2 linked regions of the Notamacropus eugenii genome follow. Each later gene encodes a partner of the first gene's protein in a complex. Links are inferred from orthologs where the notes say so. Each region holds a gene or a part of one and is shown on either strand. Other genes may lie near its edges.

Region 1 (7,208 bases):
TGCATCTATGTGTGTTTTGCTCTTTTTTCATCATTTTAGATGAAAGTAAAATTCAAGTGATTTCTCTTCCCCTTCTCACTCTTTGCATGTTTATATATAGTTCTACTAGTACAACCCAATTATGTGGCAACAAATTCCCCTATCTTTTCTCCTAGTTTTTCCTAATGTATCCTTTCCTCTTCCTTCATTTCCCTTTTTCTTACAGTATTTTCAAAACATAGTAAAACTATCTATAGGTCTTCTGTCTCAATTGACTACCTCTGTGATTCCTTGTGACATCAGGGTTTTGAAAGAACTTTTCGAATACCTTTCCCATTAGAATGTAAACAGTTTATTCTTATAAAGTCCCTTCTGATTGTTCATTTGTAGTTGCATTTTTATTTTTTTATCCCCTATATTTGTATTTCAAAGTTTCTTTTCAATTTTAGTTCTTTCATTGGAAATGTTTGAATGTCCTCTATTTCATCGAAGATCTATTTTTTCCCTTCTATTATTATACTTAATTATGGTTGGTAATTTTTGGTTATAAACCTTTATCTTGTGCCTTTTGCAATACCTCGTTTCATGTTCTCCATTCCTGTCTTGTGATAATTGTTAAATCTTAAGTGGTCCAGACTGTGGTTTCTTGATATTTGATTTTTATTTTGGCTGCTTATAGTGTTTTTCTTCTGTTTGGAAACTCTGGATTTTGGCAATGACATCTCTTGGAATTTTTTTTAAAGTGTCTTTAGATAGGTCATACATAGGTTCTTTTTTTCCCCTCTCATTGCACTCTTATATGTCCTGACAATTTTTCTTTCTTTTTCCCATTCAATTTTATTTTACATTCAGTTTCATATTTTCTCCCTCCCACTCCACTTTCCCTGCCCTTTGAGAATGTAAGAAATATAAAACCAGGCAATTTTTCTTTAATGATTTCTTGAAATGTGATCAGGTAATCTTATGATTCTTAAGTTATCTCTCAATCTGTTTGTGATATGAGATAACTTATATTTCTTCTATTTTTTAATCCTTTGACTTAAAAAAAAAAGAATTCTTGTCCCTTAGAGTCATTAATTTCTATTTTTTCCATTCTGATTTTTAAGTTTGTTATTAGGTAAGTTTTCATCTCTCTTCTGTTAAGCAGATGATCCTATTCCCAAATCTTTCTTCCATATCTCTCATTTCTCTTATAATACCTTTTTTAAATTCTTACATCAGTTTCTCTAAAGAATTCTTGTTGTTCTTATAGGCATACTGTTTTTGTTTCTTTGAATCTTTGATTATAGATGTTTTTAAATTATTCTCTTCTGCCACATTTGCATCTTGGTCATCCTTGGCATCATAAAAGAATTTTATTACTTTTTTTTGTTTACTTATTTTTGTTGCTGAGGCTTCAGCAGTTGAATTCTATGTCTCCAGGGATCAAATCAAATTGAGGATCCTTCCTGTGTTTAGGCCAGACTTTCCCTTTCCTGGGGTTGTGGTTTCAGCTCATGTCTTTTCTTCCATCATAGATACCCACCTTTTCCTTTTTGCCTTGGATCAGCTTTGGTTGAAGTTTGTTCCTTTACATGAGGAGAGAGAAGAAGAAGAGGCCGTTTCTTTACTTCTTAGTTAAATCCAAGGTTGCCTTTCTTTGGTGGAAGAGACCTAGTTGAGACCTGTTCTTTGAGAGGGAGGAGGAGAGAGGAGGAACTTTATTTTTATTTATGTCAGCTAAAGACCTCCCCTACTTTTTTCCTCCCCACCTAAAAACAATGGGAAACCTTTGCAGAGGCTGTTTTTATTTACAAAGGATTTTTTTTTTAAGTTTTTCTTAGAGTAGTGCAGAAAGTCTTTCAGTTTTCTTTCTTACAGCTGAGTACTTCTTCTTCACCTGAAGACTTTTACTTTCATCCCTTAGGGGATCTGGATATTTACTACTCTTCTAAGGGATGAGTTGGTTAATCAGATTGTTTAGTGATAGTATAGAACTGATCTCTACTTTTTTCCTTCTACTTTGACATTTTGGTTTCTTGAATAAAAAAGACATGCCTTTTCTAGAGGTGGCTTGGTAGTGCATTGGACAGAGTGCTGGACTTGGAGTTAGGAAGACCTAATTTCAAATTCTGCTTCAGATATATATATTCACAGACATACATATATACATACACACATATGTATATATATATATATGTATATATATAGGTAGATAGATAGATAGATAGATAGATAGATAGAGTTAGCTGTGTAATCTGCAGACCTGAAGGTGGACTTTTTTCATCTGTAAAATGGGGATAATAACAGCACCTATTTTATAGGTTTGTTGTGTGGATCAAATGAGACAATATATATACATATATGTCACTTTGTAAAGTAAAGGCTATATAAATGGTAGCCATTATTATTAAAGGAGAACATAATGATAATTGGATTCTATTTATCAGAATAAGATGGGGAAATGGAGTAGATGGGGAAATGGGAGGGTGACAGGAGATCCTTTTGGGGTGGCCTTAAGGCAGAAAATGTCCTGGGTGAAGGTGAAGACCAATGGTCCCAAGGAGCACAAATCCCAGTGACTTAGGTCCTCCCAGACATGCCCTCTAGTATTCCAGTTTGGAAGTTAACATTGTCTCAAGCACCTCTCTCTCCTTCCCCCTCTCCCTGTACCCCAATGACTAGCAAAGTGTTTGGCCCATAGATACTTAATAAATGATTGTTGATTAATTGAATAGAAGGAAGCTACAAGGATATTGATTGCCAGTTAGTCAACTAGTGTTTGTTAAGCACCTACCATGTGTCAATGCTAAGTGCTGAGAATGAACAGAAAGGCAAAATCAATCAATTTATCTAAACCTATCTATCTAAACCCTCAAATAGAAGGAACAGATCTCTAACATTTTAAGCTGACCAGCAGTGGTACAGAATGGTTCCAGGTAAAGAACTCGTCATTAGAAGGGCAAAAGAGATGACTCCATCAATAAAAAAAAAATAGAGGAGGCTTCTTGCACTTAGCAGAAAGTTAAAGCAAGAGATGTCTAAGATCCTTTCAACAGGTTCTCTCATTTAGGTTCAGAAACCCTTTTAAGAGGCTTTCTTGCTTTGCCCACTATGTAAGGTTCCATGTTTTCTGTTTGGAATTCAGTTACTACTTCAGTTTCTTCATCCCTAAAATGGGAGGGGGGGTTGGACTAGATGACCTCAGATACCCCTTCCAGTTCTTGAGCTATGATCTTATGACTTAAAAACACCTTTTTCATCTTTTCAATTACTATTTTAAAAATCCCTTCCTTCCCCTGTCACTCCAGACAACCAGGCTGTCTGCCCCTCTCCCCTTTATAAATATTGTTCCATTGGATCCTCACAACAACTCTGGGAGGCGGGTACTTTTATAAAGCTCGTTTTACAGATGAGGAAACTGAGGCAGGCAGAGGTTAAGTGACTTGCCCAGGGTCACCCAGCTAATGAACTCACATCTTTCCCCCTCGGGCTAGGGCCACCTACCTGCCCCACCCCAGAGAGCATGCAGTCTACATCTCTCTTCTGTGTTGCTCATGCAGTATCCGGAGTGGGTGCCATCAGCCTGTGAGCGCCACGAGGACCCGGACTCTGTCTCTTCTAAACTTTCTGTTTTCCCCGGCACTCACTCTGCACGCAGTAGATCCATATTACATGTCAGTTGAATGAATGAATGAGTGAATGAATGGAATGATCCAAAGAAAATGGAAGCATCGGCCATTCAGGTAGCTCCTGCTAGGCTACTGGGCAGCAAGGCAGCCGGCAGCCTGTAGGGGCTGGGTGTTCCAAGGGACGCGTGTCAACGCTCCGCTCCCAGTCTTTTTCACGTTTGTCCCCTTAGCTGTCACTCAGGGAGGGGTGGGCCCGAGAGAAACGGGGGGAGGAGTCTGGAAGGGGCGTGACTATTATTTCTAGGTGACCAGTGAGACAAGTTTCGGAGCTTGAGTAGGTGGGGCTACGCGCCATGGGGCGGGGCCCGCGGAGGAGAATCCAAGGCGGGGCCTGAGCTTGTCAGAGGTTGGAGGGAAGGCCTCTCAGGGCAGAGAGGAGGAGCCAAGGACGTTCCGATTGGGCGGTCCAGGGGTCGCTAAGGAAACGTGGCGCGCGGCCGCTAGGGGGTGGGGGAAGCCGGATTCGGCGTCCTTGGGAACCGGGCGGGTCCAGTCTCGGAGGGAGGCGGAGCCATGAGGGGGCGGGGCCTACGGGAAGCGAAGAGAGGAGGAGGGAGCGGCGAGAGCTGTCAGCTGACCACGCCGCCATCTTGTCCGCCATTTGCAATCTGACTGGAGCGGGAGCACTAAGGGAAGAATCCTGCAGGCAGCGAGCCGGCGCCGGTCCAGCCGCCGCCGCCGTCTCCGCCCGCCCCGTGCTGCCTCCGTCTGGGATGTGACGGCCTCCGGCCCGGCCCCCTGCCCTTCTTCCCTCCCTCGCTTCGGAGCGCCCCCGGCGGCAGGCCCAGCCCGGCGACCCCCTCCCGTCAGCCCTCTCCCTCCGCCCCGGCGCCCCCAGCCCCTGCCCCAGGCCGGCTTCGGCCGCCGCTGCCGCCGCCGCGATGGCGCTGAAGATGGTGAAGGGCAGCATCGACCGCATGTTCGACAAGAACCTGCAGGACCTGGTCCGCGGCATCCGGAACCACAAGGAAGACGAGGTGAGCCTTGCCCCGCGAGCCTGGCCGGGAGGCCCGGGGCCAGGGGCTGCCCCCACGCCCCCAGTGGCACGGCCACGTCGGCTCCTGTCCGGCCGCCGCCTCCCTCCCGCGGCGCTCCGGCTAGCCGGTCTCCGCCCCCGTGGCGGGCGCCTTCCTCATCCCCCCGCCACATTCAAGGCCCTTCTGAATCCGAGTGTGTGTGTGTGTGCCCGTGTGTCCGTGTCCCCGATGCTCTGGTTGGGCATCCCCGATGTCCCCCTTTGTATAATTCGGAGCTCCTCCAGGTTGACCACCTCTGATCTATGCAGTTACTGCACCGTGCATTTATCGAGCGCCTGTTGTGTGCAGGGCGCTGCTCAGAAGTGTGCTCAGGGCTGTGAAATCCTTCCCGGCCCCTCCGAACCCCACCCGTCCTTCCCCCAACGCCCCGGGGTCTTGGATGGTTTCATTTCTACTCTCAGGTCTGGGCAAGGACTCCAGGCGAACCCCGAGCTGAGCCTCACTGGGGGTGCGGGGGACACGGGGAGCCTTTAGGAAGCTCTCCTGCCCGATCTAGTGACCCTCCCCGGGAGCGCTTTCCTGGTCTGCCGCCGGAGAGTTATCCCCGATAATTCAATCAAAGTTGAAATAAGGAAGAAGACGAGGGCCTGCCGCAGTGGGGCCTTGGGAGTGGAAAAGTGGACCTCAAAGAAGCCGAAAATAGGGTGTGGGGAGGAAAAGAGTGCATGTGACTTCAGCCGGCCCTAAACTGAGACCGAGAAGGGGCTTGCACGGCAGGGGCTCAGTAAACATGTGATGGGATGTATGAAAAAAAGTGGCAACAGTATCATTGAATGTATCCACCTTGTAAACTATTCCCGAAGCGTCCTTAAAAGGCAAAACCGTTTTCTGTGCTCTGGATGACTGGTGTCAGTTTGAATATCTCGACATCTAGTCTTACAGGACTGTTATTGAACACTTCAAAAGACTGAGATATTATCATCTTTGCATTTTGTTTGCCTTTCTTGTTTGATTCTCATTTATGAGACAGTTACAAGCCCGGTTACAAATGTTGAGAAACTGTTAGAATCCTGCTATTGTGGTTTTGGGGAAAGGAACTAAGTAAGGATCAGTTTCAGTGGAGTTATTGTTTCTCAAGCACTGTTGTCTGAAATCCTGCCACATTCTGAAAAAGCTCACTGTTGAGGACAGTTCATTTTCCTCTTCTTTACTCAAATTGAGGGGGAAAAAAAACTGGTAAGGAGTAGTCCGGTATCTGCAATAGTTTACAAGATGTGATTTGCTTTTTATGATACCTGCCTATCCTAAGGCTTTTTAGGAAGGGTAAAGATAAGGAACAGGTATTTAATTTCTTGTAGGAATTATTGTTACATGTATAATATTGACAGATAAGGTGGAAATTCCCTTGGGATATGCCACTTTGTTTCCATTTATGTACGCTTTTCTATATTTTGATGTCATTTAGAGAAAAATGAACTGAACTCAAAAGAAACTGGTATTTTTTGCAGCTTGGGTAGAGTCTATATTTTATATCCATGACTGCATTATTTGTTAAGGGACCAGCTGTCTGATGTACTTTAAAAACACCTTCTAACTTTGACTGAATTGAAGGAATATAGTGGGAACATCTCTCCAGAACCCCTTAGGTGCAGCTTACCTGACTGCTTGCCAGCACTCTTCATTGCAGGTTCCCATCTGACACCTGTCAGTTGATTCCAGGAAACGGTACCAGAGTCAAGCACAGTTGGAGAGCTCTTCAGGAAAAAGACTTGTTGAGTCCAGATCCAGCCTAGATCATCTTAGCCTCTTGAACACTAGAGTGGGAGAGAGGGCTAGCTGAGGACAGGATAGGATGGGACTGAGCTGGGAGCTGGGGTGCATGTGCCATCCATTGTCTTGTCGCCACTCTTGATACCTGTCATTTCAGTTGCAGTAGTAAGAACTTCCATGAACTCCTGTTTGTTTTGTCTAACATGGGTGAAGGGAGGGCTTTATCAGTGTTCCATCCTGTACTCCTCCAGCTTCTAAAACAGTGGAAGAACAGGATGCTCTGAACAGTGTTGGCAGCATAGAGTCAAATAACTGGAGGGTATCTTTGAGATCATCTTGTTCAAGTCAAACATCTTAATCTCCTTCCTGCTCATACATCAGTTAAAGCTATGGTTTTGAGTCAGCTGCTCTGTCTCTCTTAAGTCTTCTCTTCTTCAAAATAAACACTCCCAAGTTCCGGGAAATATGAAAATTGCTGAGTTTCACAGATTCTTGAGTTGGTTATTAACTCCCCATCATTAGTCTATGTGCTTTTTGAGTTTTTCTAGCTATGTTTATATTTTTTAATTAATAAAACAAAAGAGTAATGACCCCTCAGTGAAGAAATGCATATTCTGGTATTTGTGATTTAATCATTCCCCTTCCAGACTAATTATAATTAGTAGCTTCGAGTAATGGAGTTTTTGTTTCCAAGCAAACTTAATCGACAGTTAGGTATAGTGAAATTGTTGAGTTGGGGTGCAGGACTGAGTAAAGAAGTAAAGCATATCTATTCATTGAATGATGGACATGACTTTGGGCACCTTAGGAA
Region 2 (7,884 bases), on another chromosome or scaffold:
GGATTTGAACTCAGATGCTCCTGGCTCTAGACCTGGTACTCTATCCACTTCACCACCTAGCTTTTATTAGGTGCTTACTATTGCATCTATCACTGTGCCAAGCTCTAGGGATACAAAGAAGCGGATTGAGCTGCTGGGCCTGAAGTCAGAAAGATATGAGTTCCATTGTGGTTTCAGATATTTATCCACTGTGTGACCTTGGACAAACCCCTTAACTTCTGCCTCCAATTCCTCAACTACAAAATGGGGATAATAATAGCACCTACCTCCCATGTTACTGTAACAAGCAAAGGAGACATTTTGAAAGCATTTAACAGTGCCTGCAACATACTAGTTCCTTAAAAAATGCTTGTTCCCTCTCTGTCCCCAACAAAAGCAAAAATAATCCTGCTCTCAAGTTCATATTCTAATGGAGGAGACAAAACACACACACACACATACACACACACACATCAATACATACAAGTTTAGAACAGAGATGCTAGGTATCCTTAGAGGAAATGGCACTAGCAGCTAGGGAGAAAAGAGAAAGTGGCTCTCTAGCTGAGTATTATAGAAAATCAGGGATCCCAAGAATTGGAGTTTGGAAAGGAGAGCACCCTAGGCCTGGTGGCCAACCAGTACAAAGGCATGGGGATGGGAAATGGGGCTTCACATTCCAAGAACAGCAAGCAGACCAGGATGACTAGATTGTAGAGTATATGGAGGGAAGCAGGAACGAAGAAGACTGGAAAGGTAAGGAGGAACCTGGTTGTTAGGAGCTTCAAATGTCAAAGGGCTTTACATATGTAGCAGGGAGCCACTGGAATTTATGAAAGGGTTAGGGAGAAGACAGGCAAGGTCAGACCTATGCCTAGGAAATTCATTTTGGCAGCTCTGTGTTGTAATTATTGAAATGTCATAGAGAAAATAATTACAAGACCTGGCAAATGCCTAGATAGGTAAGGTAAGTGGAAGTGGAAGTCAAGGGGGACGCTGAGGTCAGGAACTTGAGTGACTGGGAAGATGAGGGTGCCCTTGACAGTAATAGTGAAGTTTGGAAGTGGGGTGTGTGTGAGAGGAAAAGAGATTTAGTTCCAGTTTGGAACATATCATTGAGGAGCTGATAAGATCACCAAATGAGAGAGAAATAAGAGAAAAGAGAAGGTGGATAAGTCTGTCAACTAGCACTTAGGTGCATACTATGGTCAGCTAAGCTCTAGAGATACAAAGGAATGGCCAAAACCAGTTCCCGTTCTTGAGGAGTTCAAGGTCTAATGGGAGAGGCTATATGTAAACAACTAGGTAGAAACAAGATCCATACAAGATAAATGGAAGATCAACAACAGAAGGAAGAGATTAACATTAGCATTAACCAGTCCCAGTAAAATGAAGAGGTCAAGGAAAGACAGAGCCTAGAGCAAGAGTAGGGAACCTGTGGCCCTCTAGGTCCTTGGGTGCTTGTAACTGAGTCCCAATTTTACAGATCAAATCATTTTATTAAGGGGATTTGTTCTGTGAAGTTTGGATTCAGTCAAAGGGTCTCACTTGAGGCTGAAATTCCCTACACCCCCCACCTAGCAGAAGAGTGGGTGTGACATGGATAATAAAAATCCAAGCAAAAGAGACTAAGAAAGGATCATAAGGACAGAAGAACCAAGAGAGACACTGTCACAAAAACCTACAAGAAACAATCTTCAGCAGGAGGAGGTGGTCAATCAGAAGTGTCATATACTACAGAGAGGTCAAGAAAAATGAGGACCAATAAGAGGTCATTTTATTTGGCAATAAACAGTCAGAAAGTATTGGTTAAGCACTATGCTAAACACAAAGAGAGACAAGAACAAGTCTGCCCTCAAGGAGCTCACCTTCTAAACAACCATGGACATCTAAGATGGATTTGTGACAGCTGGTAGTCTCAGAGGGAAGGTACAAGGTGGTTTGGGGGAGAGATGGAAAAAGCCACCTGCAGAAGGTGAGATTTTTGCTGAATCTCGTAGGAAGCCAGGAGGCCAAAGTGGAGAGGAAAGAGCATGCCAGTGCCAAGGCACTGAGTCAAAAGAATACTGAGATCACTGGTAGTTTGGAGGGAGCCACAGAGAAGTCGCCCTTCAGAAATGAGCAGTATAATCCAGAGGAAAGAGGGCACTAAGAGCATATGACACCATTTGCAAACTCCCACGCTACAATGACATCAAAAAACTCCACAAGATGAAACGCTGGTGTGGATTTGAAAAAAAAGGAAGCTGAAGGTGAACTTCCACACAAAAAGTTCTTTATTACCTTCACAGTGAGAACACAAGGGTGGTGGAAATTTGTTTTCTGCACTTTGACAATCAAGTTCAAAGTTTGTTTCTTATTTTTGCATGGCAAGGGCTGAGCACAGAAGCCAGGGTATGGCCTTTGTAAACTTTGTCTGGTAGATTTATATGTAACTGTCATAAGGATTTGGTGTCATTGCCAGGCATGTGAGATGAGAACTGAAAAATAAGGGTTAGCCACATACGCAAAAAGGCTTTACAAGTGTAGAAGAGTTACCCTGAACAATATGAAAAAGACCAGACCACCCACAACCTAATATAATTAGAATGTATAAGATTTATGAATATGTATTTGGCCAAATCCTTTTTTAAAAAACACTGCAGGATGGTGGCAATTTCTTCCTGGGTGTAAACTAGGCATAAGAAATCACCTAAGGCAGGGGTTCTTAACCTGGGTTCCACAGACCTCCCCACCTAAAGTGGTCCATGGGGGGAAAAAAACCTAAGTTTTTATTTTCACTAACTTCCAACTGTAATTCAGCATTTGCTTTCAGTTATTTAAAAACATCATTCTGAGGAGTCCACAGGTTTCACCAGATTGCCAAAGAGGCTCACAACAACAACAACCAAAATGTTAAGAACCCACTTTTAAGGTAATCAAAAATATCACTAAAAGCACAGGTCAGAAGGCCTCAAAGGTGGAAAGATCCATAGGAGGTCACCTAGTCCACTCCTCCTCATTTTGTGGATGAGGAAACTGTGACCAGAAAGGTTGAAAGAGTTGCCCACTGCCCAGTGCATATTCAATATGGGGGATTTGAATAATTCCAGGTTCAGTGTTCTTTTCCAATGACCCTACACTGAATCAATCAATGAATATTTATTAAGCACCTCCTATGGGCCGGGTGCTTAGTTTTCAAAATCACCCTCAAAGCCTGCAAAAATGAATCATTTAACATTATCCCCTCCACTTTGGCTCAAGTGCATAGAGTGCCTGGTCTGGAGTCAAGAAGACTCATCTTCCTGAATTTAAATCCAGCCTTCAGACACTCACTTGCTGTGTGACCCTGTGCAAGTCGATGTAAGCCTCAGTTAGCTCATCTGTAAAACTGAGCTAGAGAAAGAAATGGAAAACCACTCCAGAATCTTGGCAAAGAAAACCCCAAATAGGGGTCCCAAAGATTCCGACACGACTGAACAACAACTACATTTGTAACACCTACAGTTTCCAAGAGCTTTCCCATGGATCTCGTTTGACCCTATCTCTTGAGGAAGCAGGCTGAATTCCTGTATCCTGGTTACTGAATGCTGAAGCTCCGGAAAATTAAGACACTTGCCAAGGTCCCGGTGCAGTCAGGAGTAGAACACCCCTCTTGGCTTGGAAGCAGATTCTAGCCCACAAGTTTGCATGTTCACAGTTCTGCCTTTTTCTTACTTGAGAGAGAATGGGTGGAGAAGGGTATGTGGTGGGGTGGCATCTATACAGTCTCTTGTCATCCACGTGTGTGTCTGCGTACACATACATACATACACACACACACACACACGGGCCTTAATGGGATAGTTCTTAACAGTCGGAAGGGCCTGTTTTCAGCTCCAAATCTCGCTGTCATCGCGTGCCTATGGATTTCAAAGTCCAGAAGCTTTGGGATGCAAGCATTCCATTTATTACTGAGGAGCGGACGAAAAAGTAACATTATTTTACAGGGAGCGCGATTACGACGGAGATAAATGTTTAACTAGAGGCTCCAGCGGCTCGCCTCTCCCTTTGGGCACGCCAGCGCGGGCCGGGGTCTGCACACACGCCGACCTGGCGATGCCCGTTCCGTCCTCTCGCCCTTCAGCATACCTTGCCCAGGACCCCAGGACCCCAGGACCGGCCGGTCTAGTGCTCCGCTGCGCCGGGCCGGGGCTGGACGCAGCGCGAAGCGCCCACGTGGGGCCGGGCCTGGCCCCCCCTCCCCTCGCACGGCCGCGCTGATTGGCTCCGAGCCGGTGGGGGCCTCGCGGGGCGGCTCCGCGGCCCGGCTCTTCCCGGCCCCCACGTGCACCCCCTCCCAGCCCAGCGGCGCTCACCTCAAATGCGACGTCGCCTCCACTTTCGGCTTTTTAGCCTGCGGTTCCTCGTCCGCCGCTGCCATCTTCCCGCTCTCTGCCCTACTCTCGCGCCCCTGGCCACAAGCGCCCCTCCCCCGTCCGAGGGCACACCCAATCCCCGCCCCCTCTCCTCCCTCCTCCCCCGGCCTTCCCAAGGGCCGGCGCAGGGTGCCCTCTCTTCGGGCCGCACGAGTGTGAGCCCCTCCCCTCTCAGCCCCCAGAGCTCGCCCCGCCCCCAGGTCAGGCGGCCTCCCGGGCTGTCTTCGCCCCGCCCCCGAGCGGGGCCTTGGCGGGAGAGGGGCAGGAACTTTCGAACGGGCAGCCCCTGGCGCCTGAACGCAGGGAGTCATACGACCGACAGCTCCGCAGCTTCTGCCTCGGGATGGAGTGCTCTCTAGGCCCTTGGAGACCTTTGCTCTGCTCAGGTATTCCCTTCGGAAGGCGATCTGAGCGCGGCGGCGGTGAAGCCCTCTCTCAGGCAGTGAGCAAAACAGCCCGGGCCGCAAGGTCCCCGCCGCCGCCGCCGCCGCCGCCGCAGCCTCTGAGCCGGCGGCCTCCTTCCGGAACGGGTCCGGGGCTAAGCTCGGGCCGCCCGGCTCCTCGAGGTAAGTGAGGCGGGCCATCGGGGCGGCGGTCGGGGTCAGGGTCAAGCGGGGTGGGGAGGGGTCCGCAGAGCCGGGGGCGGCGCTCCTCCCGCCCACTCCCTCGTCAGCGCCGCCGGGGAAGGGCGGGGCGGCTTCTAGGGACCCGGCGCTCCGGGGAAGGGACGCGCCCCGGGGCAGGTGAGGCGACCGGGTCCTCCTGACCAGCACCGGCCCCTCGACGTGGCCTACGGCCCGCCCGGGCAAGGGATGCGTCCCTGCGACCTCTGTGCCTCAATGATCCACCCTGCAAGTGCTAAGTAAGCGCCAGCTATATGCCGGGGACACCGGCACCAACGCCTGTTCTGGTTATTACCCTCGCCGCCAGCATTCTAGCGATCGCTTACCTCGGTGTTTCAAAGCCCAGCCACCCCGGGGGGAGGCATCGTTATAATCCTCACTGTACCGGAGAGGAGACGGGCAGGGTCCTGGACTTGCTCGGAATCACCCGAACTCCGGGCCGGGGCCGACGTTCTCTCCCCTGCGCCACCTCGCGGCCCTGCGTCTGTGGGACTCCGGGGGAGCCCCGGAGCTCGTGTTTGTACCCTGGCCAGGGTCCTCATGGACCTCCTTCCCGTAACTTCTGGTCCGGCTCTTCGCGCTGCCCAGCGCGTCCCCAAAACCGTGTCACACACACACTCACACGTTCGTTTTTCCGTCTTTTACAGTTAGTTTCACTGTCAAGGTGGGGGGGTAGAGAAGTGTCCGGCTGTCTTCTCATTTCACAGACAGAGACACTAAGACTCAAAGCCGAAGTGACTCGCCCCTCCTCCAGGAGCTCCGCTGGCATCGGAGCACACGGCGCATACACGTACCTGTGGAAGACCGTTATCTTCCGCGACACTTGAAAGCAGGTTCGGGCACAAAGTAAGCCTTGGAGAAAGGCTTGACCCACGGACAGTCTAGTTGATTTGTCATGCCCTTGACCATAGCAGCAGCAGTGTGGAATTGTTTATTATTATTATTGAACAAAAGAGAAATGTAGACATGAGAGTGGAAAGGGCTGTCCATGCTCCAGCAGAACCTATGCCAGCTCCAGGAAGGACTTGAGACCCTGGAGGTTGGCTGGGTGAGATGGGAAGCATGGTCTGGGTCTGGCAAGATAGAGGCTAGATTCCAAGCAGAGCAGCCCAGTCCGGAGGCAGAGTGCCCAGGCTGAGGGGCGTCAGATGAGCAAAGGAATGGAGGGCCTCTGCTCCCGATGTGGTGGGGAGGAGGGCAGCCCTAGGGGAGCTGTCCAGGTGCTCTTACAGGTAAGCTTTCCTTGGATGGATGTGAAGCCCCGAACTATTGTAATAGTGGCCTTCAGATCTTTCCCTTCTCCTTCCCAGGACCTAAAATAGGACTGCCGGAACTCACTCTTCTGCTCAAAAAAATACCTGTGAAGTAAAAAGTTCAGTCTCTCCCACTCCAAAGGCTCACTCGCTCCCACACATAGAGTCACACCCCTAAAAACACTTGAACTCTTAAAACTGTACGTTTGTACAGACTGTTAGAAACATGCTTGACACCAATAAGGTGTCAAGGAAATTTTATTACAGCAGAGTTCAGAGGAATTGAACACTTTGGCCAAAGCGGACCTCCACCCTCATTTCAAGAGGAGGGAGCACTGAATGCATGAGGTATATACCTTTAGTTCAAGACAGATTCTCCCACCAGGAGTTTGATTGGTCGTCCTCCTTTAGGTCACCATCTTCTCTACATGCCCATTACATAACCCCCCCCCTTACTGTGATTCCCCCCAAACATGCTTTAACATAGGACCCATGATCAGAAAATGGAGGGATAATTTTATGCAGGGTGTGTCTGCTTATATGCATGAAGTTCATTAAGCAAGCCCAGTAACTCTACATCATTTTTCTTGACTAGTTCCAGCTAACTGTAGATTTGGTTCCTTTATCCAAAGCTTCCTAATTTTCTGATTGCCACTGTCTGTCTTTTGATTGGTTGAGTCCACCTGCAGTCTGCTGGCCGCCTTATTATCTAACTTATTCTCAATGGCTTCATCAATTAACAATAACTTACCGTGGAAACTTAACTTTTGCTGTCTCTCGCAAGGCTATTCCTAGTACTTGGAAAGTTCTCCCCCACTTTTTTCACCAGTTGAAATCCCACCCTTCTTTTAAAAGCCTTTCCATAAGAAATGCTTTATTCTCAAACATTACACACAGTTATTATGTAATTATGTATTATGATAGCTAACTTCGTATTTTACAAAATATTTTCACATATTTTCATTTCTCTAAAGATCTAAAAGTATTATGCTCAGTTTACAAATGAGGAAACTAAGGCACAGAGAAGTAAAGTGATTGCCCCAGGGTCAAAGTGCCAAAGGTAATAATATATGGACCCTGGTTTCTCCTACATCTGAGTCCAGTGATTCTACTGTATTATATTGCCTGTTCTAGATATCTGTTACTGTTTTATCTCCTTGATTGTAAACGCCTTGAAACCCAAGCTTTGTCTTTATCAAAACTTTACATCTTCTCAATTGTGTGCATTAGTGTTCTGCATGAAAGTGCTTAAAATGTACTATTTTTTGTAGCGTGAGGCAGGACATGCTAGGTGTCCTGTAAGCAATGTGAACCAATCCCATTAAGTGATTTCAGAGGGAACCTTTGAAGTATGGGTAGGATTCTAACAAGGGTGGGGGGTTATCCTGAGTGGAGAGAGGGGAAAGCATGAAGTTGTGCCAGTAGTTGTGTTTGGAGGAGTGATCAGACTAGAAATTGGAAAGGTAAGATCACAGGAGTATTTCATATTAGAAGACACTGTTAGAAGATTTTGCAAGTATAATTCCTACTGGAGAATATATTAAAACCTAGACACTAGTAAGTGTCAAAAATAAAATTCAGACCCAAGTCTTCCAAGTCCAGTGTTTTTACCTACTACCCCACAGTGCAGTG

What was found. The genes of interacting proteins can lie anywhere in the genome.
Region 2: the proteins of AP3D1 (region 1) and AP3M1 are in contact, whole or in part, in a cryo-EM structure (PDB 9C5C), measured with the Homo sapiens proteins. The link is inferred for Notamacropus eugenii from reciprocal best matches to the Homo sapiens genes AP3D1 and AP3M1. Residues at the interface, in NP_003929.4 of Homo sapiens: Lys29, Glu388, Gly389, Thr390, Thr391, Arg393, Glu429, Arg432; in NP_001307192.1 of Homo sapiens: Ser25, Ser27, Asp30, Tyr31, Glu34, Pro52, Asp104.

Annotation. Positions count from the first base shown.
Region 1 is NC_092875.1:64,318,259-64,325,466, forward strand, and holds the start of AP3D1 (AP-3 complex subunit delta-1), read left to right. Parts: upstream 1-4,189; 5' UTR 4,190-4,531; coding exon 4,532-4,627; intron 4,628-7,208. UniProt on the Homo sapiens protein: Part of the AP-3 complex, an adaptor-related complex which is not clathrin-associated. The complex is associated with the Golgi region as well as more peripheral structures.
Region 2 is NC_092872.1:236,273,816-236,281,699, forward strand, and holds the start of AP3M1 (AP-3 complex subunit mu-1), read left to right. Parts: upstream 1-4,841; 5' UTR 4,842-4,942; intron 4,943-5,325; exon of another isoform or gene 5,326-5,428; intron 5,429-7,884. UniProt on the Homo sapiens protein: Part of the AP-3 complex, an adaptor-related complex which is not clathrin-associated. The complex is associated with the Golgi region as well as more peripheral structures.